Linked DNA regions of Rhinolophus ferrumequinum. The main gene of each other region encodes a partner of the protein of the gene in region 3 in a complex. Links are inferred from orthologs where the notes say so. Each region holds a gene or a part of one and is shown on either strand. Other genes may lie near its edges.

The links.
Region 1: TAF8 (region 3) and TAF6 share a complex: the UniProt entries of both Homo sapiens proteins name them as parts of the TFIID basal transcription factor complex. The link is inferred for Rhinolophus ferrumequinum from reciprocal best matches to the Homo sapiens genes TAF8 and TAF6.
Region 2: TAF8 (region 3) and TAF11 share a complex: the UniProt entries of both Homo sapiens proteins name them as parts of the TFIID basal transcription factor complex. The link is inferred for Rhinolophus ferrumequinum from reciprocal best matches to the Homo sapiens genes TAF8 and TAF11.
Region 4: the proteins of TAF8 (region 3) and TAF10 are in contact, whole or in part, in a crystal structure (PDB 4WV4), measured with the Homo sapiens proteins. The link is inferred for Rhinolophus ferrumequinum from reciprocal best matches to the Homo sapiens genes TAF8 and TAF10. Residues at the interface, in NP_612639.2 of Homo sapiens: Arg33, Thr36, Leu37, Val40, Ser43, Leu44, Leu45, Ala48, Gly49, Phe50, Glu51, Ser52, Ala53, Glu54, Ala56, Ser57, Thr60, Leu61, Met64, Leu65, Gln66, Tyr68, Ile69, Ser70, Ile72, Gly73, Arg74, Ala76, Lys77, Cys80; in NP_006275.1 of Homo sapiens: Pro115, Leu116, Phe119, Leu120, Leu123, Tyr126, Thr127, Thr129, Ile130, Pro131, Val134, Thr135, Tyr137, Tyr138, Leu139, Ala142, Gly143, Phe144, Glu145, Ser147, Asp148, Arg150, Ile151, Leu154, Ile155, Leu157, Ala158, Ala159, Gln160, Lys161.

What each region holds. Positions count from the first base shown.
Region 1 is NC_046290.1:90,401,679-90,409,352, forward strand, and holds the start of TAF6 (transcription initiation factor TFIID subunit 6), read right to left. Parts: upstream 3,007-7,674; 5' UTR 2,763-3,006; exon of another isoform or gene 2,325-2,762; intron 1-2,324. Other genes in the region: CNPY4 (protein canopy homolog 4), read left to right, coding at 3,653-3,785, 5,224-5,350, 5,449-5,545, 5,760-5,882, 6,370-6,487, 6,577-6,746. UniProt on the Homo sapiens protein: The TFIID basal transcription factor complex plays a major role in the initiation of RNA polymerase II (Pol II)-dependent transcription.
Region 2 is NC_046286.1:4,993,861-5,000,881, reverse strand, and holds the start of TAF11 (transcription initiation factor TFIID subunit 11), read left to right. Parts: upstream 1-4,016; 5' UTR 4,017-4,121; coding exon 4,122-4,292; intron 4,293-7,021. Other genes in the region: ANKS1A (ankyrin repeat and SAM domain-containing protein 1A), read right to left, coding at 2,491-2,678. UniProt on the Homo sapiens protein: The TFIID basal transcription factor complex plays a major role in the initiation of RNA polymerase II (Pol II)-dependent transcription.
Region 3 is NC_046286.1:11,715,960-11,723,035, reverse strand, and holds the start of TAF8 (transcription initiation factor TFIID subunit 8), read right to left. Parts: upstream 3,006-7,076; 5' UTR 3,001-3,005; coding exon 2,956-3,000; intron 2,551-2,955; exon of another isoform or gene 2,396-2,550; intron 2,136-2,395; coding exon 1,979-2,135; intron 1-1,978. UniProt on the Homo sapiens protein: The TFIID basal transcription factor complex plays a major role in the initiation of RNA polymerase II (Pol II)-dependent transcription.
Region 4 is NC_046294.1:45,221,204-45,227,636, reverse strand, and holds TAF10 (transcription initiation factor TFIID subunit 10), read right to left. Parts: upstream 1,933-6,433; 5' UTR 1,910-1,932; coding exon 1,678-1,909; intron 1,538-1,677; coding exon 1,383-1,537; intron 1,135-1,382; coding exon 1,070-1,134; intron 982-1,069; coding exon 867-981; intron 689-866; coding exon 599-688; 3' UTR 522-598; downstream 1-521. Other genes in the region: ILK (integrin-linked protein kinase), read left to right, coding at 140-289; TPP1 (tripeptidyl-peptidase 1), read right to left, coding at 4,312-4,452, 4,579-4,704, 4,870-5,028, 5,124-5,244, 6,413-6,433. UniProt on the Homo sapiens protein: The TFIID basal transcription factor complex plays a major role in the initiation of RNA polymerase II (Pol II)-dependent transcription.

The DNA.
Region 1 (7,674 bases), on a different chromosome or scaffold from region 3:
CCCCGAAAATAAGACCTAGCCAAACAATCAGCTCTAATGCGTCTTTTGCAGCAAAAATTAATATAAGACCTTATTTTACTTATAGTAAAATAAGACTGTGTTTTGTCTAATATAATACCAGATCTTATATTAATTTTTGCTCCAAAAGACGCATTAGAGCTTATGGTCCGGCTAGGTCTTATTTTCGGGGAACACGGTATAAACTGTTCATGCTAGTCATCAACTCAAGCTTTGCTCCAGCATTTCTCCCATCTCCCTGCACCATCCATTTCTTAACCTACCAGGTCGTTCCCATCAGCCTACAAAATGCAGTTATTTCTCCCATCTTAAAAAAACAAAACAGTGGTATATGTACAGTGGAGTATTATTCAGCCTTAAAAAGGAAGGAAATTCTGACACCTGCTACAACATGGATGAACCCTGAGGACATTATTCTGAGTGAAATAAGCCAGTCACAAAAGGACAAATATGGTATGATTCCACTTGTGTCAGGGTCTTAGTCAAACTCAAAGTCAAAAGGAGGTAGGGAGGATGGAAAGTTATTGTTTAATAGGTAGACTTTCAGTTTTACAACATGAAAAGAGTTCTGGAGATGGATAGTGAAGGTTGCACAACAAAGTGAATGTATTTAATGCCACTAAATTACACTTAAAAGTGGTTAAGATGGTAAGTTTTATGTGTCTTTTCACCAAAGTATATATTAAAAAAATACTTTCTTCATTCCACTTTCTCTATATGCTATACCCCATATTTGGTTCCTTCTTGCAATAAAACTTCCTAAAAGAGTTGTCTTAACTCTGTTTCTAATTTCTCTCCTCTCTTGGACCTATTCCAATCAGGTTTCTGACCCCACTGGGTCCCTGAAACCGCTTAAGATCACTGAGGCATCACATTGCCAAATCTGAGGCCCACTCTCCGTTCTCATCTTCCTTACTCTCTCAGCAGCACATGGCATAGCTGACTACTCTCTTCTGACAACACTTTTTTTACTCCACTGCTGCACTACCTTCTCCTGGTTTTCCTCCTACCCCACTCCCTTTTGGTTTCCTTTACTGGTTCTTCCTCTTATCTGCTTAATGTTGGAATGCAATCCTTAGTCTTCTTCTGTAGCTATACTTACTCGCTGGTGACCTCAACTTCTGTTTTCAGTATCCCTTATAGGCTGATGGTGGCCAAATTTATCCCCAGCACAGAGCATTCTTCCTAGCTCCAGGCTTGTATGTCAAACTGTCTCCTTAAAATCTCCACTAAAACAACTCCTGATCTCCCCCGCCCCCCTCCTCCAGCCTCAGCTTTCCTGTCTTTGTAGTGCCATCACCCATGCAGGAGCTCACTCTCTATGTAAGCCTCACTTCAAGTCCACCAGGTGACCCAAACTGATTCCTCCATTCCCACTACACGGTCAGGTCCCCAGCATCTATTATCTGGGTGACTTCAATAGCCTCCTGATAAGCTCTTCCTGCTTCCACCCTTGCTTCCCTACATCTATTCCCAATATAGCAGCCAGAGTGATTCTGTCAAATTATAAATCAGATTGGGTCATTTATCTGCTCAAACCCTGTAATGGCTCCCCATTTGCCATCGAGTAAAATCCAAAATTTTCATATGGTCTACAAGGCCCTGCATGATTTGTCCTCTCCATTACATCTCTGATCTCCTTTCCTTCCTTCTTCCACCTTGATTCAGCCAGCCCCACTGTGCTGCCTGCTGTTCAAAACTGACAGGCATGCTCTTGATTTATGGGCTTTGCTGTTCCTTCAGCCTGGAATGCTCTTCCCCAGATGTCAGCTTAGCTGCCTATTTCATACTGCACCCCCCCACACACACTCTGCTCTTCCCCCGCCCCGGAGCATTGAACATCTAACATATACTGTATTTCTTATTGTTTATCACCACCACACACATCCCCTCCTGCACCGAGTGGACATAGATCTTTGTTATGTCCACTGATATATTCCAAGACCACAGACTGTTGCCTGAGACGCCTTAGATAATGCACATTTGTTGAATAAATGAATGAATTGTGAGGTTTAGAGATGTATGTGCTCAATACATACTCACTACCACTATTAAGACGAAGAAGACACAGGCCCAAGTTTTAAAATCTATTCTGCGGTAAAAAGTAAAGGGGCTTGCTTGAAGCTGGCATTAGGAAGACTAATGTCAAAAGTGTTTAGGACTGATTGCAGGGTGTAGGTGGGGGCGTGCTGGAGGGGTGAGAGGATAGAGGCGAAAGAGAATTTGGTTCTTCTCAAACCATCCCAGGTCTCCTCTCCCACTTTTGTAAGTCTTATCTGCGGGGAACACATTTATTCAACACATACTCTGTTCCTGGAGCCGGGTATACAAGAAGCGGTCGTGTCCCAGTTTCCTGGCGAACTCCCACTAATCCTTCAATACCCTGCGGTACCGTCTGCCAGTAAAGGCTCATAAATCACGTGACGGCCTAAGGAGCCCCTCAGGTCAGTGGAGTCGGCAGGAAGGCTTCACAGAGGAGGACCTTGAGCTAGATCTTTGTAGTTCCCTCAGCAGGGAAGTGGGTCGAAGATCCCCAGGCAATGGGTCCAGCGCGAAAGAAGCAGCAGAGCCCACCTCATCCCCCAACATCCCTCCAATGCAAATACACAGAACCCACGCGCACGGACACACAACCAACCGTCTTCCTCCGGGTCCCCACACAGGCCCGTCATAGGGTCTATTCTCAGGTACCACTCAGACCCACCCCCACCAGCCGTGCGCCCCGCTCAGGAAAAGACTCTCACCGCAGCCAAAGCGCCGCTCACCCGGCGCTCGGCGCCATGTTGGCCCCGCCCCCTCCCGGGAGCAGGTCCTGGCAGAGATGGGGAGCAAGTCACCGCCCCTTCTCCGAATCGGAGTAAGTCCCCTAGGCTCACGGCCTGAAACGATATAATAAACGCTGTTCCGCTGTCTACGTGTAAAGAGCACAGCCCCCTGCTATAATTACTTCTGTTTATCCCTTCACTATCGGGCGGCCAGGACCTTCGCGAAGCGCCACAAAACTGAGGTGGGGATGCCCTGAACACAGAGGCCCCACCCCTTCTTGGGCCGGCACTGCGCATGCGCCTCCTGTGCTAGGCTAGATTAAAGTTAGCGCTGACAGCCTTGGAATTTAAAGGGCCCGCCGCCTCCCCGAAGTTGGTTTGAAGGCAAAGGGTGGTTGGTTGTGGACAGCACTTCTGTCATGGGACCTGTGCGGTTGGGAATGCTGCTTTTCATTTTGGCTGTGTACGGTGCTTGGGCTGGGACGCCGAAGGAGGAGGACGATGACACAGAACGCCTGCCCAGCAAATGCGAAGGTATCTGAAGGGAGTAGCCCCTATTTGCATCCCTCTGCCCCAGTCCTTTGTCTGGGCCGGACCAGATGGACCGTGACGGGTGGGTCACTCGACCTCCTTAAAGATCCGAGGAAGGTTCTGGTGGAGTTTGGCGGAAATCGAATGGGATCAAGGGAGGGAACTCATAGCGCTACCCCAAAATTATGGCACTATAATTCCCATGAGACACCCAGAAAGGGCCCGCTTTTTCTGGCTGGCTTGTGACCCAATGGTTTGTGGGAATTCTCGTTCAGGGACTATCTGCGCAGGACCGCCCACTCTACTGAGCATCTTCAGTGTGTGTGTGTGTTTCCCCCATGCCACTGGACCTAAATCTGGAGAGCCTGCAGGAGCGTGGTGTGACGCTCATACCTTGTGGACATCTCTGCTCCACCCCGGCAGAGACGCTCCCAAATTACAGGTCCCACGTTCTCCTGAGGGGGTTTAGAGGTGAGTAAGTCAGCCCTAGCTCATAAATAAAAGAGGAGGCCACACAGCTAGGAGAGGTTCCCCATACGTTTGAGGCTTTGCAAAGGTTGTGTACTGTATGGATTTTACAGCAGACAGCATCTTCTGTGGCTGCATGAAGTTTGAAGCCCAGCTCAGAGGGGGCACTTCAGAGCTGGACCATTGAGTGCTGTGGTTCTCTAGTTTGTTGCCTTCCTGACATTAATTTCTTCCCTGAATTCTTTTACCCTTAACCTAAATTTCAGTATCAGTGTTCCTCAAGACTTGGTCCCACTCTTCTCCCCCCACCTCTGTCAGTTTTTCTAAACATATACACAATCTTGTCAGTCCTTCGGTCAGTCCTTGTTTTAACACCTCTGGAGGCCTCCTGCTGTGTTCAGACTACAGCCCACATTTTTTAAGGCAGAGCATATGTCTCTTTATTGTATGCCCCCACCTTTCTTTCATTTCCGTACCCCAACTCCCATCCCCAAAGTTCCCATGCTTAAGCCACACTGAACTTAGTGGTCACTGAGCTTGCCTTATCTTTTTGAACCTCTGTGCCATTGACGTTTTTCCCTTTGCCTGGAATGACCCTCTTCCTTCTGTAGGTGGTTCTTCAAGATCCAATTTAAATGTCACCTCCTTTTGAAGTCTTCTTTCTTATATATCACCTCCAACCACATTGTAAGCCCTTGGAGGGAAGGAGAGTACCTGTGTCTCCCAGATTCTAGTATAGTGCCTGGCACATTTTAGGCACTTTTGTTACTTGCCTTTGTGTTTAGTTCACTTGGCACATCTGTATAGGCCACTCCCTTTCTTGAGACCTGTCACATGCCAGGTCACATGCCAGGTGCTGGAAAGACAGTGGTGGAACAGATGCAATGCTCGCCTTAAGGAAATTGCAGGTTAGTAGGAAGTCAGTATGTGACCACTGAATGAATTTTGCATTTTCTAATGAGATTATGTCTCTTGGTCTTAACCGCTAGTGTAGGGTCCTTCACACCATATTGTTGTCTTTTATCTGTCCCCAACAATATTGGCAGTGTCCCATGGATAGAGATCGTGGGTTTTATTGCTCTCTGTATTGCTATTGTGCATCCAGAAGGAGCTCAATAAATAACTGCAGAACAGCAGCAAAGACTAATACAGTGCTCACTGTATGCCTGGCACTATTCTAAGGGCTTTCCATAGACTGATTTGTTTAATCCTGACCACACCCCTATGAAGAGGTACTGTTATTATCTCTATTTTAGAGGTGAAGAAACCAAGGCACAGCAGGATTGTCACACAGCTACTAAGTGGCTGAGTCAGGATTGCAACCCAGCTAGGCTGGCTCCAGAGTCTGCACTTACAACCATCATGCTCTACTGCCTTTGCTCATCTGCAGAATGAGTTGCTGGCATGTTTGTTTATTTCTCACGTCCCCTTGAACATCTAGTGTGTAAGCTGCTGAGCCTGGAGCTACAGGAAGAGCTGAGTCGCACTGGCCGATCTCGAGAGGTGCTGGAGCTGGGGCAGGTGCTGGACACAGGCAAGAGGAAAAGACATGTCCCTTACAGCGTTTCGTGAGTCCTTCTTGGTGCCCCTCCACCCTCAAACCCCCAAAGGAGCCCTGGGAGCTCGTACAATATTCAGGGAGTCTTTATTTCTCCTCTTCCCACAGAGAGACAAGGCTAGAAGAGGCCTTGGAGAATTTATGTGAGCGGATCCTGGATTACAGTGTTCATGCTGAGCGCAAGGGCTCACTGAGATATGCCAAGGTCAGACTCTTCCCCAGGGGAGGATCCTACTTCTCAGACCTGTATCCTCTGGGGCCCACCTCCCCCAGCTCTTGACTGTCCCCTCCATTGTTAAGACTCCCTCATCTCACCCTCAAGAATTCACCCAAGTCTCCAGTAGTTGACAAATCTGATATGGTGGAAATGGACAGAGGTGGGTAGTAGGCTATGCTGATCCCAAATTCCCATCTCTCAGGGGCAGAGTCAGACCATGGCAACGCTGAAAGGCCTGGTGCAGAAGGGGGTGAAGGTGGATCTGGGGATCCCTGTGGAGCTGTGGGATGAGCCCAGTGTGGAGGTCACATTCCTCAAGAAGCAGGTGAGATAGGATACTGCACTGACCAAGGAGGTGAGAAGGGAACCTGAAAGGGGTGCTAGACCCGAGGGAGGTCTGTCCCTGAGCAGGGAGAAGGGGCGAGAGTGAGGACTCTGCCATTAATTGCAGGAGCATACCAAGAAGTTATAATGGAGGCTAATAATATATACTACCACTTACCGAGCACCTACTATGTCCTAAATTCAAAGCCGCATACATTTCAGATGCTGCCTCATTTTAACCTCACAATAACCTTGTTACCATTTCCCATTTTACAAGCAAGGAGCTGAGAGTCAGAGTTTATTAATAACCTACCTGGCAGAGTAAATGTTTGTTGAATGAATGAGGATCACACATCTAGTAAGCCAAATTTAACCTCTGGCTACCTGCCTCTCTAAGGTGGGGTGGGGAGACAGGGAGTGAAGAGCAAAGAGGAGGGTTTCCAAAGTTCAGCTGAGCAGATACCCTTCTGACCCTTCTACTTGACCAGTGTGAGACGATGCTGGAGGAGTTTGAAGACGTGGTGGGAGACTGGTACTTCCACCATCAGGAGCAGCCCCTACAGCATTTTCTCTGTGAAGGTCATGTGCTTCCAGCTGCTGAAACTGGTAAGTGTGTGGGCTGGCCCTTTCCTGCCAGGTGACAACATCCCCTACCCCCAGGACACATCTAAATTGTTTCCTATTACCTAACCTAGGGTGTCTACAGGAAACTTGGACTGGAAAGGAAAAGATCACCGATGGGCAAGAGAAGACTGAAGGAAAGGAGGAGCAAGAACAAGAGGAGAAGGAGGAGGCGGAGGAGAAAGAGGAAGAAGAGAGGACCAACACACCAGGCCACTCCAAGCACGACCCAGAGGATCTTTGACCCTTGCTGTTGATCCCCAGGAAGGGCAGGGCTCACAGAGAAGAACTCTCTGAAGTCTGAGTTCTCCCTGCCTCCCAGTTTTAAGGGTGATGTTGTGAGTGATCCAACCAAGAGCTTGTAGCTGTTCTTTCCCATTTGGTCTCAGGCAGGATCCTGATGGTACAGCATGGCTATGGGAAGAAAGGTGTGTACAGTAGGTGAAAGCCCAACCCCAACAGATGAGCACTCTGCTTGCTGACTAGCTCCTTAATTGTAGGTGTGTGTGGTGACAGTATTGAAGGCTTTCCCCTTTAAATATCTTTACTACTACCCCGCCCCCCGCCCACTAGAGGTCAGGATGGCATAGGAGTTGTGGGCCGTGGGAAGGTCACTTTGCCCGTTTTTTAGACCCAGAGAGTATTCTCTACGACATAAACACCGCCTGCATCCAGGTTACATACCAACAAACTGTAACCGAGGGGACACTGGACGGGATGGGGTGATGTTGGTAAATTAGGTGGAGTAGATACTTTATGTACTAAGTATTAATTTCACCGAGGGCCCACCACATAATTTCACAGGTGCCAAATTTTCTATATCGCTAGTAAACTTAAAAAAATACACATCATCTGGGTCCAAAGTTTCAAAACAACTGCCGAGCACACAGCATACCTAGCTGGCCGATGTGGCAGCGCCCAGAGAATAGGACTGGTGGCCGCCTTCCGGTTAGAAGCGAGTAGTGCTTCGTAAAGCTGCTACCGGAGGAGGCTGGTAGGGAAAACACGGCTGAGGGCCGTATTTAGCCGCGGGTCAGTGCAACCCCGGCCTGCGCATGTCTGAGACTGCGCGGGGATTCAAATTCTGTGCGTGGTGCCACCCCTGCCGCAAAAATTGGATTTACGGCAGCTCGCACAGGACAAAATCCTTCCCGCCTCTCCGACTTCTGTTC
Region 2 (7,021 bases), about 6.7 Mb from region 3:
GGGCGGGGGAGGGATCATAAGTAGATGACTAGATGAACAGATGAATAAATAGATGAATAGACAAACACACATGTGGTGTGGAACATCTATATCCACTGCGACTGTAAGCTCCTATTCCTGCCAGCTTTACTTGGTCACTCAAACAGCTGGACAAATGTAAGCGCAGTTGGCAATACTAGTGGGGGTAGGATATGGCAGCTAAAGCAAAGGCCCATTCTGAAACTGTCATTCCGCAGCTCTTGCTAAATAGCCCAGGGTCCCCGAGGTGGGGAGTGTGGGCATCGTGGACCTAACCCTCTATTATTTCCAAACCTAAAAAGGCAGGACGTGCTGACCTAGGGGTTATTTAAATGCATGGTCTCATTTGCTCAGAAATCTTTCACTAGGTTGAACCAGAGTCACCTCTAATTAATGACACACCTAGTGTAACAAGTGCCTGCAGATCCTCCCTGCCCGTAGGAGTCACAGGGACGAGAGCTGGGCCAGCTCTCAGGCCATCAACCGTCTACAACAGACACAGACGCAGGTCAGGAGGAGTGAACTCCCTTACACAAGGGAATGGAGACACCACCTTCCACTCTTTATGACACACTTATTAACATAAGGCCCAAAGTGAAAACATGGTGCTCAACAAAGATTTCCTAGTCTCGCTTAACTAACTCCTCAGCCGAAGTTCCAACAGTCTCTGAGTGAGAGCACTAAGAGTAACTTGGCCTGTACTTGAAGGCAGGAGACGAAAGTCTCTCACTTCAGCAGGATACACTGGGCGTTAAGGTCCCTCTGGCAAACCTCCAACTGCTACATCATTCAACTCATTAAGAGACAGGCAACTCCAAACTTGCATGGTCTTTCTCTCATCTCTCAGACATCAGAAGTGCAGAAATGTCCAAGGAATCCGGGGAAGATTCAAAACCCAATTCACACATTCAAAGAACATTTATTCAACACCGGTGAGTTGTCGGGCACTGATCTAGGGACTGGGAATATAAACATGAGAAACACTAAGTCACTCTGAAAACTGGAAGTTGATCCATCCATCATCATTTCCCTTAATCGTGCCCAACCGGTCAAGGCTCCAGTCAGGAAGTTCTGGTGTCCCCCTCACACCAAATAAGGCTCCTTTTCCCCTTCCCTGCCTGCGATCACGGGTGTGCCCACCTGGACCACTCTCACTCTACTTCACCAGACGAATCCTCACTTCCTTCAAAACCAGCTGAGGTTCCTCTCTTCCTGGAAGCCCTGATCTCCACCTCATCCCAAAGTGATGCCTCATTTCTCTGAACTAACAATTACGGTCTGAGTACCACCATCAGTTTATTTAGAAATGTATCGTTTTGATACTTTTATTTACTCAACAAATCCTGAGTACCAAATGTGTGACAAAATTGTCTTACGGGCTGCAGAAATTGCAGCATATGGTTTGCCTCCCCCAAAGAATTCCTAAGGAGAGTTCTTCTCTTAAACTGCCTTTTCAAATCTTCCTGTAGAGAGCTTGGTTCCTACTCAATGCTTAATACCTAACAATTTATTAGAGCCTGAGGGTTCCTTCCACCAAGCTTACCCAAATTGAAGTTACATAAACTAATGGGGAACAAAACCAAACCAAGCCATTTCTAAATGAACTTCCACTTCTTAAAAACCTCAAAAGAACAAGGAAGGAAAAGAAAACAGGCTATGAAAGTGCTGCTGAACCATCACATTTTACTCACTGACAATCCCCCCTCCAAGCCACACAGAAGTGACCTTCTTCTCTCAGTCTTTACAGCTTAGATTCAAGTGTTTATTTTAACAACAGACCTTGGAAAAGTTTAAAGCCTCCTTGGATAGTTTCCTAACCAAGTCTTTCTAAAGCTTTATTTCTTGATGAGTAAACCCCCTGATGCGTCCTGCATATGCCACTTAACAGACTAACCCAATGAGGTTCACTACAAGGAACCAGAATGTGAGCCTCAAGCACCAGGGGAGCTCAAAGAACACTTTAGACGTGATAAATCCAGAGACAATTTTAACATAAACAACAAAAGCCAGATCCTGCAGAGCCCAGTGGAAGGTTCCAAGTTCCCAGAAGAAGGAAATCAGGGTAATTTCCTCCAGGGGAGCCGCGAGATTCTGCAAGACGCGGGTGTTTCTGCAGGAGGTGAGGGAGATTTAAAATATACATATATTGCTCCGAAGTGGCGTGTTAGACACGACAGCTGGCACCCTATCGCGGGCGAGGGTGAAGCCGGGCTGTGCCATGCGGCGGAGGCAGCCACCTGGGCACTCCCACCATTCTTCGCAGCCGGGTCAGGACGCGAGACAAGAAGAGCCCGGCGCCGCTCGGACCCGCACCGGCGACCCTCGCCCCGTGGGCCGCCTGCCTTCGCCCCGGGGCACCCGGAAAAGCCACCCCACCCGGGTCTCAGGACCCTCGATCTCTCTGGGGACCCAAGGGACAGACGGTGGAGATGGGCTCTCGTGGCGGCTTCCCGGCCCCGGCGCGTTACCCACCTGAGCAGACTGGAGAGGGGATGGCTCGAGGAGCCCAGGCCGCCGCCGCCGCCGCCGCCGCCCCCGGAGCCGCCACCGCCGCCGCCGCCCCCGAAGCCTGAGGAGAGCCGCTTCCCGGACAGCAGCTTCTCCACCGCCGGGAGGTGCCCGGTGCGGGCCGCCTCCAGCAGCTCCTGCTCCTTCCCCATCCCCAGGGCCACCGCCCCCTGGACCCCCTTCCCGGGGCCGTCGCCGAGCCTGCTCGGTCTCCCAAACTTTCCGTCTCCGGGCAACGCACCCCCCAAACCGGCCGGGGACACCACCCCCCTCCCCCCCGCCAGGCCCCCCCACGAGCGCGTCACTTCCGGGATCCGGCGTCACGCGTCACCGCGCCCCCGCGCCCCGCCCCCTTACCCACCTAGCTGGGCGGGGCTCGGCGGTTAACGCAGGTGGCTGTGGTCGGTGCCTCCTGGACTTGGCTGAGCCGAGGTAGGCCTCCGGGGGCGAGAGAAAAGCGCCCTGTGGGCGCCCGCTGTACAGGTGGAAGGGAACAACCAGGGCCCACCTGTGTGCGCCTCCAGAACTGCGCTCCTTCCCCAAAGGTTTGGGAGCCCCCAGGACAGGAAATACGGTAATGCGTCCAGGCAGTGTAGAAACAAAGAGAGAAATACGGTAACGCGCACCTACATTTCCTAGTCCATTCTTTCCGCACGCATAAATTAAATATGTAATGAGTGTGGGGACCTAATGACACACAGGTGAATAAAATGCCCCGTACCTCAGTGAGGGAAGACAGGAAATTTTTAAAATAGAAACATCTCCACTTCATGCTCCCAACCCCTGAAATGGCTCCTAAAATGAAACAGTCAAAGGAAAGACCTCCCTCCGGATGGAATTTGTTTCCTCTTACTTTTGATAGTATTAACCAAGCCGACATGAAAAGTCAGGTTAGTGAAACTGACCCTGACCTTGAGTACTGGTGAAGTGTGAAAATTATTTAATTGGGTATAAACTATGTCTGTTTTGTTTCTGGTACGAGCACCGTTCCTGGCTGAATTAGGTTCTCGAAGTAGTTGTGGATTGGGTAAATTCTGTTCAAGCTATGACTTTAAGGTGCTTGAGGAAAAGAGAAATGCTGGCAATTCAGTATAAACACAGGCCCGCAGACTCTGTCCAATTGAACTGTGTACTAGGAGGCTGAGTCCCTGCCTAAAAGTTCACCAGGTAGCCGCACGCCACGACACGCGCGTACCACGGAACTGAGTTTTCTCCCGTCCCCAAACTTTACTCTGAGGAAAGCGGTTAAGGAAGGAGTTAACGACATTGCGTTTTCGGAAAGGCGGGAAAGAAAAAGAAATCCTTCGATAAACAACACAGCACTTATTTACAAAGGTTGGCTTCCCAGGATGGAAGATGCACAAACTAAACTCCCTACCCTTAATTTTCCCTCTCCCCACCGCCATCAAATCTGAGTTAAAACGGAGCCTTGAGGTCCTCCAGGAGCGCCTCAAAATGACCCTCCGAGGAGCGGTAGGGGTGATGTCATCGCAGCGCGACGACAGGAAGTAAGCTTCTGGGCTGCTGTGCCGCGCTAGGTCCCGGGCTTCTGAGAGGGACAGCACCGCGATCTCCTCGCCCTTATTCTGGAGGCGATGGATAATGCCTGCGAGTCGCCCACGGAGAAGGGTGGGGAGACAGGGGAGTCCGATGAGACAGCCGCTGCTCCCGGGGGTCCCGGGGCTACTGACACGGACGGAATCCCGGAGGAAACTGACGGGGACGGAGATGGGGATTTGAAAGAAGCTGCGGCTGAGGAAGGAGAGGTAGGCAGAGAGGTGTTGACGAGGCTGGAGGAGTACCCCGAGATTGTGTTACTGGCTGCTCGACCACCTTCTTGATCGATCCCTCCCAAGCGAAGTCGAACTCACCAGGACTCCCTCTAGCTCTGCAATCGCGCAGGCGGGGGGGTGGTAGGAGGAGACAAAACTATAGTGTCCGTTCGGTTCCGGAGACCCAAGCACTGGCTTAATATTTTTAATCCCTGCCCTTAGCGATTAAAGCTACTTCTAAGGGAATTCTAAATAGCCTGTTGGTTTTACTGGGGAGGAAATTGGGATCCAAATTCACATTGAGAGGGTGCAAGAGCTAGAACCCAGGATCCCTAGTATCCCTTTCACCGCAATATGGTTTCTATTAAGATGTTGCTTAAGCATAACTTTGTTATTTATTATAGGCTGCAGAGTCGTTAAAGGGAGATTTTGAGAGAATTGCTGGTTTAGTCACGTTCTCCCCCTCTTGGGACATTTAACTGCTACCTCTGGGGGCCAATGTCCAAGGGTCTCTGTAGCATAAACGCGCGAAACCCATCAATTGTGCCACCCAAAAGCTCCGCAGTGTTGTTACCTAGCTGAGCATCCGTCAGGGGACCAGAATCTCAGCGTTCTCAAGGTTCCATTTCTAGAGATAGAATCTTGGGGTCTTAGAGCCATGAGTGAGGGACTTCAAGAGGTCATGGAGAAGGACATTGGATTAGAGGGAAACAGCCTTTCAGCGCATAAAGTTGCATCAAAATAGATAAAGCAAGAACTTTTAGAAAAAAGTGATTAAACTATTTTAGAAGGAACCTTTAAAATGGATCTCAAGGACAAAAAGGATTTGAATAATAATTAGCGTACATACAGAAATTTGCACCCAACAGAAGATGAAATTATTTTTTTTGATGCTTCTGAAACACTTTTAAAAATTGCACATACACCAGACCACAAAGAAAAACAAATTCTTAAAAGTAGATATCATAACGGGCCACATCCTGTGCGATACACTTGAAATTAACGACAGAAAACATCTCCTACCCCCACTCTTCCCCCAAAAAACTAACACCTGGACATTTTAAACTGTTTTCTAAATAACCCATAGATTAAAGAAATTAACAGAGAACACTACATCAAATTCTATGAGGTTTGACCAAAACCTTTTTAAAGAAAAATTCGGGGGCCTGCCCCGGGGCTCAAGCGGTGGGAGCGCTGCGCTCCTAACAGGGAGGTGGCTGGTTCCATTCCCACAAGAGCCAGTGAGCTGCGCCCTCTACAGCTAAAATTGTGAACAACAGCTCTCCCTGGAGCTGGGCTGTGGTGAGCAGCTGGAGAAGGTTAGCTGGGCCTGCTGCTGGCTGCTGTGTGCTGCCATGGGCTGCTGTGTGCTGCCGTGGACATCGTGAGCTGCGGTCGTGGACATCGTGAGCTGCTGTGGGCTACCGTGTGCTGCCATGAGTGGCCGGCAGTCAGCGTGAATGGCCGGCAGCCGACGAGAGCTGCCATGAGCTGCTGTGAGAGGCTGACCGATGACCGGCAACCGACTGCCTCAGTCCCGGGGAGCACAAGGCTCATAACACCAGCAGGGTCCAGGGAGCTGTGTCCTACACAGCTAGACTGAGAAACAGCGGCTGGAACTGGAGTGAGGGGGGAGTAGGGAGGGGGAGGCGGAAGAAAGGGGGGGAAAAAAAGAAAAATTCATAGCCTTATGTATTTTTTTTTTTTTAAAGGTTTTATTGGGGAAGGGGAACAGGACTTTATTGGGGGAACAGTGTGTACTTCCAGGCCTGTTTTTCCAAGTCAAGTTGTTGTCCTTTCAATCTTAGTTGTGGAGGGTGCCGTTCAGCTTCAAGTTGTTGTCCTTTCAGTCTTAGTTGTGTCGGGCGCAGCTCAGCTCCAGGTCCAGTTGCCGTTTTCTAGTTGCAGGGGGCGCAGCCCACCATCCCTTGCGGGCTGACCTTGTGGTTGAGAGGACGCCCTCCAACCAACTGAGCCATCCGGGAGCTCAGCGGCAGCTCAGCTCAAGGTGCCTTGTTCAATCTTAGTTGCAGGGGGCGGAGCCCACCATCCCTTGCGGGACTCGAGGAATTGAACTGGCAACCTTGTGGTTGAGAGCCCACTGGCCCATGTGGGAATCGAACTGGCAGCCTTCGGAGTTAGGAGCATGGAGCTCCAACCGCCTGAGCCACCGGGCCGGCCTTAGCCTTATGTATTTTTATTAACAAGCAGGAGAAATTGAAAATAAGCACCCAACTTAAGAAACCAAGAAAAAGGAAAAATAAACCAGAAGAATGTAGGAACAAGGAGTTAATAAGAATAAAAGCAGATGTTAATGAATTAATGCTTGCAAAACATAAGAAATGATAAAGACCTGGCTATTTGAATGTAAATGCACAACATTATGAAATAAGAAAGGGCAATACACACTGATATGGAGATCTATAAAGTTATAAAAAAAATTTCAATGTTCAAATTTTAATTTTCAATAGATTTGAAAATCTAATAAAAACGGCTTATTTTTAAGGAAAATGTAAATCAAAATTAAAGCACAAAGAGGTTAGAAAACTTGTATAAATCAATAACTAGAGAAGAAATTGAAAAAGTTGCTAGACATAAACTATACTCACTCTCACCTACCCCTCATAGTCCTTTATGAGTTTAAATGTGAGTTCCTTTTTACGGAAAACAAAGGTTAAATCCCATTAATGAGGATTTAATATTGGTTTGTTGTATCCTTAGAT
Region 3 (7,076 bases):
CATAGCTTTCTAACACAACTATTTCAGCTCAATCCCCTTCCGTGGCAACCGTTTCTTCTGAGAGAAAAAAGGCCTCTTGTCCAGTAGTATGAGAAAGAACTGCTTCAACTCCAAGGACCTTTAAACTCTGAATTCCAAAATCTTTCCAAGAACTGAATTCTTATCTGTTGGGAACTATTAGTCCATTCCTTTAGGACAAAAGTTCTCAAAGTGTGCTCTGGGAATCCGTAGACATTCCTGAAATCCCTTCCAAAGTCCACAGGTCAAAACTGTTTTCATAATAAAATAAAGACATTCTTTGACTTTTCACTCATTCTCTCATGTAGTTTTCTAGTGGCTATAGGACCTGTGATGACATCATGGCTCTGATGGATAACTGATCGTATGCTTGTTCATTCTTGTTTTAAAAATTTCTGTTTTCTTTATAGTGTGGCTATATATATAGAGAGAGAGCCCATGTATACACAACTCCACAGGGTTCTCAATATTTAAGAGTCCACAGGTGTTCTAAGACCAAAATGTTTGAGATTACTGCTTTAGGCAAACATTTGGTACTTAAAACTCCAAATGTCAAAGAGCCACCTCACCCCAGATCTTGCCCTGCCTGAGGGAGCCCAAATGTAGCGACTGATCAAGACCAAAGTACAAAGGCAGAGACTTTTCCATCTGATGTGGGATACCTGATGGACAATTAGCACCCAAGCTCCCCAATGAGTTGGCCAATTCTTTGCCTGCATTGCAGTTCAACTTCTCCCTCTGCCTAAACCTTTCTCTCACTTCCATTCATAAAGGTTGATCCTTCTAAAACACCTAACATACACCCATCCCTCATCCCATCCTACTCCCAAAAAAGACCCAAATAAGGAAATACACTGTACGTGCAGAAAAGCCTATGTGAGACCATTCTAGCTCCTAACCCTCAAGACATTTCCTTTTTAAAGTGTTTTTTCCCCGCATTCTACAAAACTTATTCACCCTTACTCTTTGTATCACATAACATAGCATTTGATTAACATATTTTGCCATGTGTAATGCATACTTTTTTGCCCAAATTTGTGAGGGGAAAATAAGGATGTGCATTATACACAACTCCACTAATTCCGTAGCTACTCGTAAATGTTTTAATTCTTTTATTTATGCTTATGAGTCAAAAATGTAACTCTAGAAATCAATAACGATATCCACATGCAAAATAATACCCAGAATATGATCATTGGTTTTGTTGAATGTATGACGAACTTGCAATGCCAAAGGGTTCTTCGCCTTCTATGATGTTTAAATATCGTAAATTTATTACCAGTACATAAAATTGCTTGTACCTTGTCTCTGTTTTTGTGTTTTGTAATTATTTGTTACATAAAATTTCTTGTACCATAAGACATTAAAAAATAAGTGCTCAAATTCCTTTATAATACAAAAAACAAGAGTAACTACATATAAACAAATAGCGATTTGAATTAAAAAAATTAAAACGGAAGGTTTTTTTCCCCCTGAAAGTTTGGGCCAAAAACATGGGTGCGCATTATATACGGGAGCGCATTATACACAGCAAAATACAGCAAAATACTGTATATCATGTGATGGCATGGGAATTAATCCTGACTCCAACAAAACCGTAAGTTCTCTGAATATAGAACACAAATAGCAATAATAACAGCACCTACAAGTCATCAAAAGCTTTCAATATTCCCAGCATTGAATGTTTTAAGTATACACCTCATTTACATTCACAGTTCTATGAGGTGCAAATTATCACCCCATTTCACAAATGAGGAAATTAAGGTTCAGGAGGTTTAGCAACGTGCCCAAGCTATTAAGTGGCAGAGCAATGACTTACACCCGTCTTATCTGATTCTAAAGCCCATAAATCACTTTACTGTGTTCTTTTTCTTAAATCCTCTCAAACACTATCACAACGCAGAACACAGAACAAATGTTTGGTTGACGTGAAGGCGGCCTATTATTTCCTGGTACTTACAGCTTTGTAGCATCTCTGTCAACGTTTCCACAGATGCTTTTTCAGCGCTCTCAAACCCTGCTTCTGTGAGCAAGGAGCTCACAACCACTTGCAGGGTTCGCCTCCGGGCTAGATGGTAGTTATCAGCAGGGTTAGTGGACTGTTTACCTCCTGATCTCTGTGAATCAGCAGCCCAGAAAGAGAGATTTCATTCACTGGACAAGAATGCAATTACATAATTCATATATCGTCAATGGCCAAGTAAAGATTCTTTTGCTAAATATTTATCAGTGCTTAATTAAATGGGATAGCTCTTATGTTTAGACTTATAGATCTTGGCCAACTGAGTAATAATTGAGCATCCAAGGGGCTCTAGAGATAGCCTTTCTGCTTACTTAAAACTTAAAAATTCCAATACCACAAATGAGTGTTTCTTACTTTTTATTTTAGCAGATTATCTGAATATACAACTGAAGAAACACGCATGACGGGAATGAATTCATGCCTATCTCCCAGAAAAAAATTATCTCTTTAAACCACTCACGATGGGATTTGTCTATCTCTCAGAAAAAAAGATCTCTCTCTTGTTCCTCCCGTCTCCACACCATTTAAGTAAAATTAAAACAAGAACACACGATGCTGAAGAGAGTAAAAGGGTTTAACAGCAAAGTAGGAAAGCTAAATATTTTGAAACGGGAATCCCTCCCAACTTTGGCTAGCCAATAAGAAGGCTTAAAGGGGCTCTTCGGACCAATCAGGAGGTGTTCCGGGTTCCCAACCCCCAACAGGGAACGAGCCAATCGGTATACAGGTCCACCAACTCAGGAGGCCGCCGCCAAGTACCAAGGAGGGGGGGCATATACGGCCTGAAAGACCCTCCTCCACTCGAAGCTCCTAGTGGGGCTGGACGTCTGGGTATGAGCTTGTTGCCCAGCCTAAGGAAAAGTTACAGAACGCCCAGACTCTCTCGGCTTCGATCCCGCGCCTCCCGCCCTTACCGTTCCGGAGCTGCCAGCCCCAGCAGTGGCCGTCGTGTCGGCCATCTTGCTCTGGCGTAACGTGCGCGAGCGCAAGGCAGGATGGGATTTGTAGTCGTCGGGCGGGGAGAGGGGGCGGGGCGGCGTGCGCCCCTCTGGGCTTTCTGAAACTCAGTGAGGAGGCGTTTGGGGGCGGGGGTGCTTCAGTTGACCCGACTCACGTGACTTCCAGTGAGCTGCAGGTTGATGTGGCCCCGGTGAGCCTCGGAATTGGCCGGGAAAATGCGCCCTCGGTTTTTACACCTATTTCAAGATGAAATCGTTTCTCATAAAGAACACACCCCTGGAACGCTCCGAACTTGACTGTTAGTAACACCTGGCTGGGTCCCGCCCAGTGCCGGTGACTCACTGTCTGCGGGAGGAGGCCTGATAATAAGTATTGTTGCGCTCTCCAGGTGATTCTCCTGAGCGGGAAATTTGGAGAAATCTGTGTTGTACTGATGATGACTCTGCAGCCGGTCAGTGCCCCACTTGCAACCAGAGCCTAACGACCACCTAGTCCAGGTCTTCCACTGCTCCCAGCTGCGGTCTCGCCCTCAGTTAATCCGCGGGTATTTGCGGGGCCAGACGAGAGGGGCAGGCGGGCGAGAGGCTCTGTCCTTTGCCCGCCTCACTCCCAGGGCATTGCGGTGCCTGTGGTTTCCTGTTCACTCGCCCGCCAGACCCTCCGGATGGGTTCTTCCTGCGCTGACCGAACTGGGCTTTATTCCTCTCGGTTTGCGGGTGCCTGGCGGGACGAAGACGATGGGTTTGAATTCTAACACGCGCCAGCTGTGGGACTAGGGGCGCAGGACCTAACTGCATTGTGGCCTCAGTTTCCTCTTTTGTGAAACGGGGGTGTGATTGATAGAAGGGGGGAAAGAGCTAATACAAAGGGTCTGTGGCGGTGTTAGACGTATAGCAAGGTCAAGAAACGGCGTCTCCTGTTGTTTATTTCCTGGGTAGCGCGTCGAAGAGCGGCTAACGCCTGGAGGCAGGAGTCTGGAAACCTGCGCTGCACCTGCACAGTCGCGCGTACCTGAGTCTGGGGGGCGCGCCTCTGCCCTCTCGCCTAGGGCACGGGGGGCGGGGTTTGCGGGGGCGGGGGACCACACCGGGAGTCCTGGCCCAAACCTTAGCTGAACAGAGCATCCAGTTCGCTTTGTCTCCCCCGCCCCCTCTTCCCCACTTCCTGCCCAGCTTTAAACTCTCGATCCGCGGCTCAGCGAAGACTGTAAACATGCGGCGCCTCGGGAGGTGGAGACTGGTTCTGTTTGGGCGTCTGGGGGAGTGGTGCACGCCCCTCCCTGCGGCTGGAGGTTGCGAACCCCCATCTCCCCAAAAAGAGAAGCCAGAGGCGGCAGGAGAGAGTGTCTGCGGCCACAATCGGTGCTTCGGGGGGCTCACCTGCCAAGGAGGTAGGCTTGAAGGCTGGAGAAGCCAAGATAATGGGGGTCAGCATCTTCCCCCTTCGTTGGTGCCTCCAAACTTAGGCAGGACACCGGGGTAGGGGTCGGAGGTGGGTGGGTTGAGGAGGTCACTGCGCTCTCGTCACCTCCTGGTTGTCCCCAAGAGCTTGGCTTATATTCTCAGTGAGCTGTTTGTTGTGCATGTAGTTGAGGGGCGGAGAAGCCCACCAAAGCCCTGAGTGCTCTACATGTTTGCACAGCCCCCTCCAACCTGAACCGCGATCCTGGAAAGTCAGTGGGCTGTCGTGGTTTTCTAGATCTCAGAGATAGAGGTGGGGGCCGGTAGGAAGGCAGAAGCAGTGTGGGCAGGGAGCCTTCAGGTTCTCTTGCCAGCCAGGGCCAGGGAAGGAGGCCAGAGGAGGAGACTGGAAGGAGGGACCCCTCAGTGTTTGGTGTCTGATGGGTACACAAGTGATGGTCTTAGCCTTTTCTGTGTCTTTTCATGTGTCCACAAGGGGAATAACTGAAGCAAGTGGTTGCTGTTACTAAGGGAGCATTGATATATTCATTTGCAAGCACCGAGCACCTGTATGTCTGGGATTGTATTGGATGCTGAGGGTGCGATGATGTGATGTACCCAACAGCTAGTATGCGTCATGATCAACAGAGATAAGTCTCCAAGCTCAGGTGGCTGGGAGGCTTCAGAGAGAACAGGATGTTTGAGTTGGGTTCTGAATGATGAATGGTCACCAGGCAGAGAAGTGGTGGGAAGTCTTGGGGGACACTTACTCATTCCACAGAGTGGTACTGAACCCTGATTGTGTTGTTGGGCATTGGGGTAACACAGGGACCCAAAAGCACTTCCTGCTCTCTTTAACCCCCTGTCTAGGAATGAAGAAGTGGGAATGAACATGATGAATTCAGGGGAAGGCAAGTTTCTGGGCTGGTCCCCAAGAACCCAGAAATTCCCAGCTAGATGCAGCTGGGAAGGTCCACCTGGGAGTGATGTGACAGTCCACACAATCTTGGGGCACCCACTCCCCAGCCCTGGACTCTAGGACTGCTTCTTCTAACAAATCTTGTTCTGTGCCCCCCACCGCAATTCTCTTTGGGACCCAACAAGGATGAAGAGAACTGGCTCTCCCGTTGGTTTTCTGCAGATTTTTCTGCTCTTTCAGTTCCTGGGCTCCTTTGAGAGATGACTGACAACAATTTATGAATTCAGCAACTGTCTGCTGTGGTCATACCGTCTGCACAGGCTAGATGTTGGGGACATAATGGGAAACAAGTCAGAGCTTCTATCCCCCTGGAAGTTAGAATCAAAAGCATCTCTGAGAATTCCAGCAGGATCCAAGTCTATGCCCAGACCTTGGGACCTTCTCCTCCCTGTTCCTTCCCTCAAGGGTTCAGAATACTAGCTAATGCTTAATGGTGCTGTCAGATACTCTTCTAAATGTTTTAGGTGTAATGTCTCATTTAATCCTCCAAACAGTCCTATGAGGTAAGCACTAGGATTATCTCCATTTTATAGATGAGGACACTGAGGCAAAAAGAAGTAATTTTCCTAAGGAGGACACGAGAAATAAATGGCAGAGCTGGGGTTTAAAGCCAACTCACATGACTTAGGAGGCTCTGTTCTTAACTACTAGGCAAGCCTGCCTCCTTGACTGACCACATAGAATGTGCACTTGAACCAAGGGCTTAGGAGTTTCCAAAAGGGACGCCATCGTCCTGTATGAGCGTGGGTGCTGGTGCTGTTCACAGGGAGCCCCAGAAGGCCTGAAATAGGGTTGAGGTAACAGCACAGAGCTGGCTGGTATCCTCTCCTAAAGGCCTTGTGTGTGTGTCAGCGCATGAACTTCCTAAGCTTCAGTCAGCAAGAGGAACACACCAAGGTTTGATGCAAGAAAGAACTCAACATAGATGAGATGTGCCAGAATCTGGTAGCTGGGAAACCAAGGCACCTCTCTTGTTGGAAATCTTTAAGAATAGCAGAGATCCTCATATTCTAGATTCCAGGAGGAACAATCCAACTTAGCTGAGTAAGGAAGATCGTCAAGGAGTGGAAGCAATCTTAAGATGCTCACCTCTCTTCCCCAGAGCTGCTGCATCGCAAAGCTGCGTCTGTGGACCCGACCTCACCCCTCCAGGCAGGCTGGGACAATGCCCGTGATGCAAACCAGGCCATGGGGCAGAGATTCCATAGATTACAGCCATTTTCCCATTACCTTTCTGAACGTTTGGGTTTCTCCCAAGAGCCCTCTGCACAGATCTGGAGAGACCCTGACGCTGTGTCTCTTTGCCTGCAGTCAAACCACCCCCTACCATCTATATTTGTTAGAGGGGTGTGTGTTGGGGAACAGGGGTTGATGCTCAGGCTGGAGGGTAGAGGGTGGCCTCCAAGGTAACTGGTAAGCAGGATGTGAAAGTTGAGAACTCGACAGGCCTCCAGGCTGCAACACACACACACACACACACACACACACACACACACGCCTTCCTCTCTCATCATAGGTGGGGTGCAGTGGAACCTTCCGTGCGCCCAGCCCCCTGCCCCAGGCACTCTTCAGGCTGGGGAGAGAACAGGTTGTACTCTTGAGAAACCACAAGAGGAAGTTTAGGGAGGGCTGGGGTGGGGAAAGTTCTGGGGCCCTTGCCAAGTTTCCCTTTCATTGGTAGATGTGTTTATTTTGG
Region 4 (6,433 bases), on a different chromosome or scaffold from region 3:
GGTAGTGACAATAACTGTAGTGGGGCTGGAATTTTCCCACATTTGTTCAAATATATAGTAATCCTGTCCTGAGAGCTAGAGATCTCTCTACATGAGATTGGAGTGCTGAGACCCACCTTGTTTTTCCCTACATTTACAGGTGGCACTGGAAGGCCTTCGGCCAACCATCCCACCAGGCATTTCCCCCCATGTGTGTAAGCTCATGAAGATCTGCATGAATGAAGACCCTGCTAAGCGGCCCAAGTTTGACATGATTGTGCCCATCCTGGAGAAGATGCAGGACAAGTAGGACTGGAAAGTCCTTGCCTAAACTCCAGAGGTGTGGGGACACTGTTAGGGGACTATGTTTCCCCAAAGCTGTGGGCCTCTGGTTGCCTCCCCTGCCTCCAGTCATGGTACTACCCCAGCCATGGGGCCCGTCCCCTGTGCCCATCCCTACCGCTGTGGCCCCAAAAGGGGCTGGGCTCAGCTTTGTCACTTGCCACATGGTGTCTCCCAGCATGGGAGGGATCAGCCCTGCCTGTCACAATAAAGTTTATTATGAAAACAGGCTGGTGTGGGGACAAGAGGACAGACAAGTACATTTAGATTGGATGGCTCAGGTGAAGTAGTGTGGTTTCTTCACATTGATGCCATACTCGCTGAGGGCAGGGGTCAAGTCCTCCATGGTTAGAGTGTACTTGCGGTCCTGAGGGAAGAGGGAAGAGCACCAGCTAAACACAGGAATCCCAGATTTCAATCCCAGGTGGGTGACCCTGAATAGGTCTTTCACCTCCCCTAGGGCTGTTTCCCGAAAGGGGTTTCAGGATAAATTAAGCCTCCGCTGCTGGGAGGTAATTACTGATTCAATGAGCCTCCCCTCACACCTTGCTCTTGCTTCGGGAGCTGCCCGAGGCTGTGCCCTTCATTTTGCAGTGCTGTAGTGCATCATTGGCAATATCTGAGATGAATTTTTGGGCAGCTAGGGAGATGAGCCGAATTCTAGAGAGAGAGAAAAAAAAAACCTAAGGAAATGGACAGCAAATCCACACAAGCACCCAACTCTCGAACTTGCCCAGAATTTACTCACATGCGAGGGTCCGAGGCCTCAAAGCCAGCGCGGTTCAGGTAGTAACCAGTCACTGCATCTGGAATCTGAGAGATCAATTAGACAGCTATTAGTGTAAGCCCTATGCACTGCCAGGCTGAGAGTGAAAAGGTGAGGGAAATGGAGGACAGGCCTGACACTCGCAGGAAGCTTACAGTTTGGGTGGGCAGAGGGGATAAGTCACAAGAGCAAGTATGGGAGGGAAACACAAGAAGACGACACTGGAAATCCAGGTGGTGTGGAGGAAAATTGGCGTGACAGCGGGCCAATAGCCTTGTTCTGGCAGGAAGCCCACCGTAGGCGTGTAATCCTCCAGCTGCATCAGGAAGTCCACCAGAGGCGTGCTGGACACCACCGGCTTCACGTCTCCGTTGGCCGCACTCGGCAACACATAAACCCCGTTAGACATGGCCCCCTCCGGGGGCGCCGCGCCGCCTGCCGACACCGCAGCTGGAGGAGAACCAGCAAACTGAGACACGGAGGTGGAAGGCGCAGGGCCTCAGCTAGGTCTGCCTTATACCCTCTGCCCTCCCCCGCCGAGGAGCCCCGAGAAACACGTTGCCCTCACCCTCACCCGTCCCGGCCCTCACCCGCCCCGCGCCGGTCGGCCGGCTCCCCGGCCCGCGCTGCCACGGGTCCCGTGCCCCCTGCCGCGGCTCCAGCCCCAGGCCCTCCTGCTGTCCCCGCGGGGCTGGCCTTATTCTCCGCAGCGGTGCCGGCGGGCAGCACGGCGGGGGCCGAGACCGCGGGTGCAGGGCCCGGGGCCGAGGCGGCGGAGGCTGGCGCCGCCTCGGGGTCCGCGCCGGAGCCGCTGCAGCTCATCTAGCCGGTGGGAGAGGCGGCGAACAGAACCGCTTCCGCTTCCGCTCACGTTACGCACACACCCGAGTGACGTCACTCCTCGCGCTTGCCCCTCCCACGCCATGACCGCTCTCTCCCCTAGGCTTCTCTCCTCCTGGTTGCCTGTATGCCCGCTAGATGACACAGACCGAGGGGCGGAGACCAAACCTTGGAGAACCGCGCTGGCCGCGGACGTTCCACCTCCCACCGCTCCGTACTCGTCGGTGGTTCTGCAGGGCTGGGAATCCTGGAATGTCGAGGACTCTTCTGCGGATCAGGGACCCTCTTTCAGCCTGCCACCTAAAGACCTCTCTTTTGGCTCATTGGTCCGACAGGGTTGGACCATCTGCCAGCCTGCATGCTTTCCAGTTCCCTTATTCAGCCTTTTAAAGGTTCGTAGTGGAGGTGGAAAGCGCCCCGCTCCCCGCCAGCTGCCCGGAGAAGTGCAGTCTGCAGGAGCGCGCCCAGTGCTGCTGTAGATGCGGAGGGAGGTGTTTCAGCCTGAGTAAAAACACATATGCAAAAATCACAGCGAGGGAAAGAGTGAGGTTTTCAATGTAGCAAACATTTATTTAATTCCTATTTGCCAAACCTGAGCTAGGGCCTGCGAATGCAAAGTTTAAGTAAAACAAGACTCTAGTCCTCTAGGCACCAACTGTCTTGGAAAGGGAGGCAAACAGGTCAACTGGCAATTTCAATACTATGTAGGAGTTACAATACTAGAGGTAGACAAAGTGTGCAGTGCAAGGGACAAAGGGAACTAACACCTGCTGCCTACTTCTGTGTGTCAGGCACTCTTATCACCATTATTCCATTTAATTATTCACTGATAATTATGAGAGGCAGGTATCGATATCCCCACTTAACAAGTGAGGAAAAGGCTCAGGGAGATCAACTTACTGGCCCCTAAGGCTCTCCCCTAGTCTGTATCAGAAACAAGAATCAAACGTTTGGTTTCAAAAATCTAGGATTTTTGTGCTATACCAAAAGCAACCAGTAGGGAGCCAAAAGGTTCACAAGGGAATATAATGGATTCTGAGCTGAGTCTGGAAAGAATCCTGGAAATCAACCAAGCAAAGAGGAGTTAGGGGTAGTGTTAAGGGCACAGAATATCTTGAGCACAAGTGAAAGAATGTATATGGGAGGAAAGCAGGGGAGGATAAACAATTTGTTACTCAGGAACAAATAGCAAGGAAGAAATAAGGTTTGTGAGTCATGACAAAAAGCCTGAACTTTACCGGGTAATCTTTGAAGGATCTTAAATAAATGACCTGATGAGATTTTCATTTTATTCTGGAAGATGGTTTAGGGAAGGGCAGGAAATAAGGTAATTTTTTTGCAAGGGCCTTAAAATTCAGAGGAGAAAGAATACGGCTCTAAGCTAATGTAGTAGTGGAGATAAAGATAAGTAAATGAGTTCTACATGTACATAAGAAATATAACCGGCAGACCTGTGCATAAAGATGTGTTTAAGAGGCAAGTCAGTAGGACTTGTTAATTGAAGGTGGTGGTGGTGGTGGGCGATGAAGGAAATAGGAGTCTAGAATGACACCCAGGTCTCTGGTTTGGTTGGAAGAAGCATAGTATCATTTACCAAAAAGAAGAGAACAGATTGAGATTGGGAGAGAGATAAGTGTCAAGTATCACATATCTTCCTTTTGAAGTATCAATCACTGTTGGACAGAAAGTCTGACGTAGTGAGATGATGATGGCTGTGGATGCCAATCATGACGGATTTGTTCCAGGGGCAATAGGTAGAGTGAGAAGAGCAAAAGACTGAGGATGGAGAAATGAAGTACACCAATATTCAATGAGGAAGCAGAAAAAGAGGACGAAGGGGGTGGTCAGAAAAGAAGTTAAACCCTGGAAGCTACGGAAGGAGAGGGAGTGGGCAACTATGAAAGAAGGCCATAAAGCAAAGATTGGGAAGTGTGCACTGGAGGAAGCAGCAGGGAGGCCATTGTTTTTCAATGTCAGGGGAGGAAAGTACAAAAGTGAGAGCAGAAGTCTCAGTGCAATGAATTGAGGAGTGAACATGAAGTAAAATTCATGAGTGCACAGACAGTGTAGACAACACTTTGGAAAAGCCTGGTTGCAGAGAAAGAAGACATGGTGCGGGGGTGGGCAGTGTTGAGGGATGCATTCAAACAGCACTGGTGATAGCATCTATTGAGAAACCTGAGGCGGGAGTAGGGAGACCTGAGTATGATGGAACAGGGTTAGGGTTGGGAGTCAAGTCATGCTCATAGCACTTCAAGGTTAGGGGGATAAGCTCTCAGCAGTCAACAGGTGAGGGTTCAGCAGGATTTCCAATAGTGCAGAATAAGGAAACAAGCCACAAGCTGTGGGGCAGGAGACAGGCCCACTCTCCCGACAGGAAAGGGTCAGGGGTTGATTAATGTCTTCAGCAGAGCTGGGAAGTTGGGTGTTCCCCAGCCTGTCACAGGATCCCAGCCAGGGCCAGAACAGAAACCCTGACCCTGCACCTCTTCATTCAGACAGGACTCATGGCAGCCACGGATGACCTAGGGAGAGGGTGAGCATCAGATCTGGGCCTGCTGGTACCAGTACTAACAGACTACACCCCCGCACCCAATAGTCCCATCCTATGCTCTTATGAAAATGTCCACACCCATCCCTTCCACACTCACATCAAAAAGTCCTGCCCCATGCTGCTGGTAGAGCCTTGGGTTGAGAAAGCCAAGAGGGGGGCGGCCACTGAGGATTCTGTGTTCATTTATCAGGGACAGAAGCCCTCCAAACACTGGAGTAGAGGCCTGCAAGGTGCAAGTAGAAGTTAGGGGTTCAGAATGACTGCACTTTTGGGGAAGGATATTTGAAAGGATCAGAGGTCCCTGAGGAGTTAGGGCTTCTGGGTGCAAGGACTTAGGGGTAGAGGCTGAAGGTAGTTCCTAAAGGTTGGGAGCCAGGCTGATTCTCACCGAGGTGCCAGACACCCATGGAATGGGCACACGGTTGCTGACCACCCAGTAGCCATCAGAGAGTGCAGCTACATCTGGGTAGGCACGGCCACTGGCATTGAAGTAACTGGATGGTGGCATGTGGGGGCTGGATCTCAGGAACTGGGTTACAGCTTCCTCCTGAAAGGCATTGTTGAGTGAGTACTGTCTCCTGAACTGAGGATTCCCACCCTTCCTCACCTCCATCTATCCACACAAACCTACACTACACGTACCTGGTATGAAGGGCGTGGGAACACATTGCTGAAGCCACCACCACTGATATAGTCAACAATCTCACTTGTGACTCGAAAAGGATTCTGGAAGGATGTGCCTCCCACTGTGGTGACATAGGGGCTGAGGGCAGAAAACAGCACTCAGATTATAGGGGCCCCAAGGGGACTTCCAAAATGTGTAGATGTTGTCACACAGCAGCCTAGCAGACTGTCCCCCCATGTCTTTCCTTATGGAAAGAAAAGTCTGTGAGACTGTGCCTTTTTGGGACGTTATTTATCTCAATGTTTTATAGCTCATGTCTCTCTATCTAGTCTCCAAAAGAGGGTTTGCAGCCAATGACGAGTAAGATTCCCCACGGGGCGGGGGGGACAACTCAAGCTAGGCGGAACCCCATGGAGACCCCAATGAGCTGCTTTAGAAAGATCTGGGAAGGGGACTTGCCCCACTCCCCCCTGCCTGGGAAAAGCCGCTGCTGACTCTGACTTTTCCCTCTCACCTAATTGGGAGAAAAGTCTTGAGAGTGATAAGATTAAGCTCTCTCTGCTCAGCTCTGTGAAACAATTTCACCATGTGATATATGTCCCTTAAAGGAGTTGCATACCTCACCTCAAGGACTTTCTGCTTCGGCTGTTTGAAGATCAACATAATTGGTTTGGGTTGTTTCTATAACGTGATAAGTGAGTCTCACAGACTGTGCCAAAAACACTGCTACTCCCTTGTATACTTATCAATAAAAACCTCCAGTCGGCTCATATCTGGGCTCCAGTCTTTCAGAACTGTGAGACCCCTGGCCTTCTGAGATTTAAACTGCATTAAGTCTCTGTTTGTTTCTTTCTTAAAAACTTAACCCAAAGCCGCCCCTTCTCACACCCTCACTGCCCGTGTTGTGCTGGATGCGACATGTAGAGATGGGTGAGTCTGGCTTGGGTCTTGCGGGAGGGTCTGGAATCTGTGGGGAAGCATGCACATGGGGATGAGTAAAAGGTTTTGAGCCCTCAAGGGTGGCCTGAGGTGACTGCACATTTTCCCTACAGAACACCCACCAAATCTTCCACCAGAATGCCTGGGGACTAAGAAAGAGGAACACTGGGAGCTGTGTCCTACTCAGGGAGCTGTGTCCTACTCAGGGGCCTGGGACCTACAGGAAGAGGGGAGTACAGCAACCAGGGTGGTAAAGCTGAGGCTGAGCCACAGGAACACCTGATAGGGTCAAGGCAAAGGCTCTAGATCATGAGGTCACAAATGAAAGGCTGGTGGTCACAGATACATGGTGGGCTGGGGTATTTACCTGGAGGCAGGGAAGCTGGGA